2 linked regions of the Neodiprion lecontei genome follow. The protein of the gene in region 1 interacts with the protein of each later gene in a biochemical or structural test. Links are inferred from orthologs where the notes say so. Each region holds a gene or a part of one and is shown in the gene's direction. Other genes may lie near its edges. The genes, in order: ADP-ribosylation factor-like protein 2 and tubulin-specific chaperone D.

The links.
Region 2: the proteins of ADP-ribosylation factor-like protein 2 (region 1) and tubulin-specific chaperone D form a complex in vitro, tested with the Homo sapiens proteins (2 studies listed by BioGRID and IntAct). The link is inferred for Neodiprion lecontei from reciprocal best matches to the Homo sapiens genes ARL2 and TBCD.

The regions. Positions count from the first base shown.
Region 1 is NC_060261.1:42,485,011-42,488,735, reverse strand, and holds ADP-ribosylation factor-like protein 2, read left to right. Parts: upstream 1-1,496; 5' UTR 1,497-1,624; coding exon 1,625-1,689; intron 1,690-1,861; coding exon 1,862-2,351; 3' UTR 2,352-2,915; downstream 2,916-3,725. Other genes in the region: uncharacterized protein LOC124293034, read right to left, coding at 3,489-3,725. UniProt on the Homo sapiens protein: Small GTP-binding protein which cycles between an inactive GDP-bound and an active GTP-bound form, and the rate of cycling is regulated by guanine nucleotide exchange factors (GEF) and GTPase-activating proteins (GAP).
Region 2 is NC_060260.1:5,329,336-5,333,270, forward strand, and holds the start of tubulin-specific chaperone D, read left to right. Parts: upstream 1-1,527; 5' UTR 1,528-1,732; coding exon 1,733-2,074; intron 2,075-2,197; coding exon 2,198-2,376; intron 2,377-2,516; coding exon 2,517-2,655; intron 2,656-2,773; coding exon 2,774-2,960; intron 2,961-3,045; coding exon 3,046-3,268; intron 3,269-3,401; coding exon 3,402-3,550; intron 3,551-3,695; coding exon 3,696-3,925; intron 3,926-3,935. Other genes in the region: uncharacterized protein LOC107223765, read left to right, coding at 22-301, 387-506.

The DNA.
Region 1 (3,725 bases):
TGTCGTCTTTACGTACCGATCGCTTACCGACTTGAGTTGCGCGACGCAGAGAGCGCTGCTTGAAACATAAAGTTCAGTGTGAATTTCTCTCGTACATTTTCGGTTACGGAATAACGGAAAGCCCCACTAGGCCAACAGTCTTTATAGATCTTCAGTCAACGGCGTGAACGCGCTATACAAGATAATTCCACAGAGTCCAATAGAGTAACAGACACTTGATATCGCCATCAGCTCCTTGTTTTGAACCACGAAATGTTCTTGTATATTCTTCTAATATTAGAAGAATTTCTGGGCTAACAATAATTGATTTGCGTTATTTCAAATGGGTCCAGGATCAGACGAAGCATTTTTCTTTCAGGTAAACAGGCACGCGTGCAGACACACAGCATCGACAACGCGAGCAAATGAACCAATCAATTCCTATTTTAGTGCCACCTCCTGTGCTCAGATATTCTCCTGATAGCGGGGGCAGTTTTCAATCAACTTCAGCAGCTGTGCGAGTCTTCTTGCAATCCTTCAGACTTGATTTCAGTAGATCACGTTGACGTCATATTGCAAAAGGAAACGATCCGATCGGACATCGTCTTATGGTGGTGATCAGACAACCCGTTTAAGATGCTCCAGTCCAAAGGCGAATTTCGATGCTTGTCACTGATCTGATTATTAATCAGACTCATTAATCATCCTCAGCATCTGTAACTACCGTGAGCGTTCGTTTTCAGTTATAGTCAATCATAAGGGACGAAAGATTTAAGGATCTTCATGTGTGATATAGTGTAAACGACATAGATAAAAAAAAATTATTGGGGGAGAACTATTCGATTGCTGACTCAAAAATTATGAAAAGGCTTACGTCAAAGGGTAATAAGACTGAATACTGACTGCTCAGTTCACGGACTGTGAGTCACCACAATATTTTACTGAAGTGTTAGAGTTTTCATCAGCCTTATGAAACTCCGCGTTTTAGAGAAATTGAATGGTAAGTTACCGACAGTTTGAAGAATAGCCACTAAGTGAATATTTGGCAATGCGGCACAGTCACCTGACATTCTGACATTAAATTATTAATTATCGTTTTATATTTAGCGCTTTAGACATAGATAAAAGTCTAGTGTTACACTCAATAATGTCCTCTTTCACTAGTAAACACTATGAAATTGGTGAGATTACTGACTAGCACTTCACCTACTTAGCGTCCCCAACAGGCGAAAAAAATAATCTAGTACCGGATTTCGTCAATCCAATGCTCTACTAGCTTTGAAACGATGGCTAAGTTTAAGAATTGTAAACTGAGAAAAGGCCGAGCGTGTAATGTGTTCTCAGTCATCAATGGGCATTTCGCGAAAGTAAATATTCTCTACATTATCGACAGTTTTTTGTAATGGGAAGCTGGAGGCAAAGCGGTTGCCGACATGCGCCTACAACTGGAAATTAGTTCCGAAAACCCAGTTCGTCTCGAAAGGCGCTAGTAATCGAAGAAAGCGAAAAACGTGACCCTCGGTTCTCTCATTGTCTGCAAAGCAAACGTCAACCGCGTGCCGAAATTTGAATTGTCAGTGTCAGCTGACGTTTGAAATTACCACATTAAATCACAGCTTTATCTCGGAAAAGTAATATCGGTAACATGGGGCTGTTAACAGTTCTCAAAAAGTTAAAGCAGAAGGAAAAGGAAGTTAGAATACTGATGCTGTAGGTATTTTAAAGTTGTCCGACGTAGATCGTTTTTGAGGTTATATGCTCCTGTACTCCATTCCAAATTTCCGTATTAGGAAATAAGACGACTCGAGAAGTTTGCATAAAACTCAATATTCAGGACATCGACATTTATTGCAACGTCTGATACTGAATATCCGTTTTCTAGGGGATTGGACAATGCAGGGAAAACTACGATACTGAAAAGAATAATCGGAGAACCAATAGACACAATTTCTCCCACACTTGGATTCAATATCAAAACACTGGAGCACCGAGGCTACAAACTGAATATATGGGACGTCGGAGGGCAAAAATCCCTCCGTTCTTATTGGCGTAATTATTTTGAATGCACGGATGGTTTGATATGGGTTGTCGACAGCGCCGATAAGAGACGCTTAGAAGACTGCAAGGCTGAGCTGGTGAAACTTCTACAAGAAGAGAGACTGGAAGGTGCCAGTCTGCTGATATTCGCCAACAAACAGGATCTTCCAGGAGCTCTTTCAGCTCCTGAAATTGCCGAAGTGCTCGACTTGTCGTCTATAAAATCCCATCATTGGCAGATCTACAAATGCTCAGCTGTCACGGCCGAAAATTTGCTTGAAGGAATAAACTGGATAATCGATGACATTGCAGCTCGGATATTCTACCTTGATTAATACCACATTATGGTCATAGCATTTAGATATCTGTATTTATTGTGAGCAAATTTTTTCATATATTCTGCTGAAAAATTCACCGGCTGAAACAATTAGTCGAAGAGAACAAGAAAAATATAACGGAATTGCAAAATTTTTCCGTTTGTACTTTGTAATATTATTACGATACATTAATTGATCTCTGATATGGCTTAATAAGTATATCTATCAAAAATGGATGATATGTTTATAAGATTTTTTTTGTTACCAAACATACAGCCATTTCATGCTCGACCTTTTATTATTTTACGATTGCAATCAATTTTGGAGGGCTGTTCGTTTGAACATCACTGTTATAATTATCTGTAAGTACGTTTTTTACAAGCTCTCCACAAAACTGTATAAATTAGAGGTACGCAATATACGCAAGATCGATTTTTACGTTTATAGGCTTAGTCTTAGTATGGACTGACTAGGCATAACACTGCTAGCTTTTGTATTATGCTTACACTATTCCAATTATTCCATGTATTAATTCGATTTAAATAATAATACTTACAATTTTTTACTGCAAAGATTCTTTCTCGTTATCATATATACACACGTGCGTTCACTTTACTTGAATGGAATTGATATTACAACGACGAATTTTCGTTTCCTTATAATAGCCAGAACACCGCATTCAAAAGTTGATAAAAGTTGATAAAAGTAAAATTGCAGTATTTCTGGATATTAATTGATATAAATATCTTGCTTCTATTCACTTTTACAGTTGCTATAATCTAGATATAAAGCAGAAAACGGCCGCGGATTGATTTTGGGATCAAAACTTGTTCTACCGAGTAAATCGCCAATATTAACTTATCGATGGGCAACATGACAATGAGATCATCTTAGGCACCACCTAGTGAAATTTATGCAAATCCCTGGTCTCTGATATTCTAACATAAAGTTTGCGACAAAGAAAATATTACACGAAATACCGAGGATATGATCTCCCTGCACCATGATTCCACCGTCTAGTTTCACCACAACAAATAAACAGTCTCGATTTTTCAGTTGTCAATTAGTGCCGAGACTTAGATATTGGCTATAATCAAATATTGTTGGTTATTTTTCATTTTTCTACGAATTAATGCAGATATTAGACCACCATACCTATCTGTCTCCGTATTCTTCTTCATCTTCAAACTCATCGGTCTCTCCTTCCGTGCCAGAATTCGAGACGAATAATTTCACCGTCTTTGCCGACTTTACCTTAGCCTTTTTAGATGTACTTTTACTCTCCTGAGGTACGTCGTCGACTTGTTCTTCCTGTTTTTTTCTACCTAGCTTTTCCTGCTTCCCCTTCTTTTTTTTAGGCACCGGGGGTGGAGGCGCGGTTGTATCGGGATA
Region 2 (3,935 bases), on another chromosome or scaffold:
ATGAATATGTTGTGTTTATAGAGTCTACAATATGGAGTCAATACAAACTGACTTAACTTCAATTCCAAAACAGCCTCGCCTAGTTTACCCTGGAGACTTTAAACAATTGAATTCCAATAATGTGAAGCAGGATTCCAAAAACTGGATCGCTCTCAACAATTATATTAAAAAAATGAGAAGGAACATGAAGGTGCTGCAACAGCGCAATAGAAGACTAGAGAAGCGAGTAACAGACCTTAAGACTGTTGTTAAGTTTTTGAAAAACAGGATCGTGACAAGAGATTCTGCAGCGATTCGATTGGTAAGTCGCTGCACAGTATTTGAGGCTGTTAAAAAATAAGATGTGATATGTGGGTTTGAAAATAACATTTTATTTGAATACTTAGTGTGGGCACTCAGACTTGCCTGAAAAGAAAGAATGTTTGCCTAAAAATCACTCGAACCAAGTGGCGCATTTTTTGGGAGATCATGATTATGTCGCCAGCAAAAACTGGTCCATCTTGTAATATCCTGAGAAGGTTGCGGCGTAGATTGCTGGATTTATTATTGTACCACTTGTCTGGATCTACTCACTGGAAGAAGGTCTATGCCGTTACTTCCTGAGAAAAAACGGAAGGGGAACCTTTACCATTGCAGTGTAATGATGATATAGGACTGCAAGCCGAGTTGGTGGGAAGATTCGTACTGATCAAGGAGAAACTGGCATAATGGGTAATTCAGTTGTAATTTTTTGGGAATCCAAAACCACCTGTGTTGTTAATTGTTACTGATATATTTCTATATTTCAGATCAAGCACTCAGTGTGCCCTTCCTTCTGAGGATCGCAACTTGGACATATTTTTTCATGGGATTACTAGAGATTAACTGGATTGTTTTCACATACCAAATCTAACTGGACTAGATCGCAATGGGATACTGATAATATTTAACTTTGACACAAATAATAGCACTAGGCTTCACAATATAATGGTCAATTCAATTTTATTTAATTAGAGAAGTTCTGCTATTCGCCAACTTTGATATTAGTTTTTATAAAAATTTTTGGTGATGTAATATTTTCTAGCTTTATCTGAAATCTGTTCGCTCATAGCGATTTCAAGGTCTTGTATACTTAGCTCAGCTGACTGTGATTACACCTAGAGAAAATTTTGCCTTCGCCAAATTTCGTTGGCTAATTTATCAACAGTAATTTACAAAAATATTAAAAATTTATCTGCGTCTAGAACAATGTTTAACAATGGAGAATGATACCTCACAAATAAATCAAATTTATTGTTCGTTGATGTACTTTTAAGATCCATTTTCAGCATTAAGATTAGTTTTCTCCTTTATTACTTGAAATCTTTTTCTTACGATGTAAGTAGGAGTAAATTCAGGTGATTGTATAAACGTAAATTTTAATACGTGCGCAAATACATGGTCTATGGACGATCCAAGCGTTGCGCAGATGAGGTTAGACCACTATATAGTTAGATGGTAGCCTCGAATATCATTCGGACCAGTCGCGACTAACTTGTCATGATGAGTACGGTTTTTCATGTTTTAGAACACTTTGCTATCTGTCAACTGTCAAAATATCCTATCTGCTTGAACAAACGGCTTTGTAGTAAACGACATTGGATTATTCACCGTAAATGGAGCTTACAACATTACACGATTGAAAAGGAATATCATATTGTTATCTACTCATTCAACAGGCCATTCCTTCTACGATAGTAGCCATATAAACAAAATGGTCCTCAACGATGGACCTGATCCTGAAAGCATGGGCTGTGGATATAACATGATCAAAGAAATAGACGAAGTCACAGGACTGGTTGGAAAGTTGCGAGATTCGGATTTAACTCCGGCACAGATTGAAAGAAATCATGAGCGTTTTACCTTTATTTTGTCTCAATACCAAGATCAACCGCATTTGCTGGATCCATACCTGGACGATATCCTAGGTTCGATGTTGACCATCGTTAGAGACGACAATATTTCTGATGGTGTAAAACACAATGTCTTCAAATACATATTCATCATCATGTCTGTCAAAACATATAAGAAAATTGCCTCTCATCTTCCTCACGAGGTAAGCTTTGGTATATCACAATTTTCGCAAAATATTTATTTTATTATTATGCTAGTTACCTCGACACTTGTTAAACTTGTTGAATTCGGTTCTCTGATGTAATACAACTTACATTTGACTTAGGTAATGGATCTTGTGCCGGTTCTGCGTATGTTGGAAAAGCAAGACCCAAATGATTCGCTTACTTGGGAAACACGTTATGTACTTCTTGTTTGGCTATCTATTATTTCTAAAATACCTTTTCCTTTATCTCGATTGGAAACATCGAATGATATCAAACCTGAGGATATGATAACAAATAGGTATTACAGAGTTCCATATTAAAAATGATAAAGTTTTCAGTTGTGTCGTGTCTCTGCAATAATCAACATAACTGATTAATAAAACATATTTTACATCGAGTAAAATCTGTCGAACATCAAAGTTATTAAGTACTTTTCAGGATATTGAAGTTATGCAAACTGTATTGCCTATCAAAAGATGTTTGTTCAGTGGCGGCAGTATTTTTGATTGCGAATTTTCTGAATCGTTCAGATGTTAAGAAATTGTATCTTGAAGAAATTATCACATGGTGCTGCCAGGTGACTATTGAAAAGTTTAAGGTTTAATTGATCTATATTCGTATGTATTATCAATTTCAATTTTGATACAAAACTTGTTTCGAATTTGTTGTTTTGCTAACGATAACATTTTTATCAGTGTTTGGAAGTTAATTCTACAACTCACGGTGCTTTGGCAATACTTTCCTCAATATTGAAACATTGTGCTCGAGAAGATCTGAAGCCATATAGTCAAATGCTATTAGATAAAATTATGAAAATGAATTTGAGCGATAATCCAGACGCTCTCGTTAGAAAATTTGCTCTGAAAGTAATACAGCGCATTGGTAAGTAAATGAACATAAATAATACAGCTTCGTATTCAAATTGCATTCAATAATCTTATCTCTTCTTCGTAATATTCGAAATCAGGATTTGTTCTCCTACGAGCTAAAGTAGCTGATTGGAGGTATCAGAGAGCAAGCAAGACAATAAGCTTGCTACCTGAGAATAAAAAGAATCTAACAGCCATGAGTGTAGGGGACACAAATGAAATATCCTCCCAAGAGACTGAAGACCATGATATTCCTCCAGCAACAGAAGAAATTATTGAGCAGCTGATACAAGGTCTTCGCGACAAAAGTATTACCATCAGGTAAATTTTCATGCACAGGATGTCTTTAGAACAAATGTCAAGTCTGCTTTAAATTCATGGGCTTTATACCTACATAAGCATATCTTATGGGTAGTACTACTCATTACAATTGCGCATTTAAATAACTTATCAGATGGTCTGCAGCCAAAGGGATCGGGCGAGTAACAGCTCGCTTGCCAATTGATCTAGCTGATGAAGTGGTTGGATTTGTACTGAATTTGTTTTCTGGACGTGAATCAGATACGGCCTGGCATGGTGGTTGTCTAGCATTAGCTGAATTAGGTAAAAGCAGCATGATAAATTGAGTTAAACTGTCTTTCAGTATTCTGTACATTGTAAATCATTCGGATATTAGCTTAATTATGGTGGACATGACAGTGATTTTTCTATGCAAGGTATGACTCTTACTACTCATTGTGTCTGGCAGGGCGAAGAGGATTACTATTACCTCATAGATTAGGAGATGTTATTCCTTTGGTTCTTCAAGCATTGGTATTTGATGAACCTCGAGCTTACGGTTCTGTAGGATCGATAATCAGAGATGCAGCATGCTATGTTTGTTGGTCGTTCGCAAGAGCATTTGAATCTAGAGTACTATTACCTTATGTAAATCAGATTGCTGCTACTCTGCTTATTGTAGCCGTTTTCGATCGAGAGGTAAATCGCA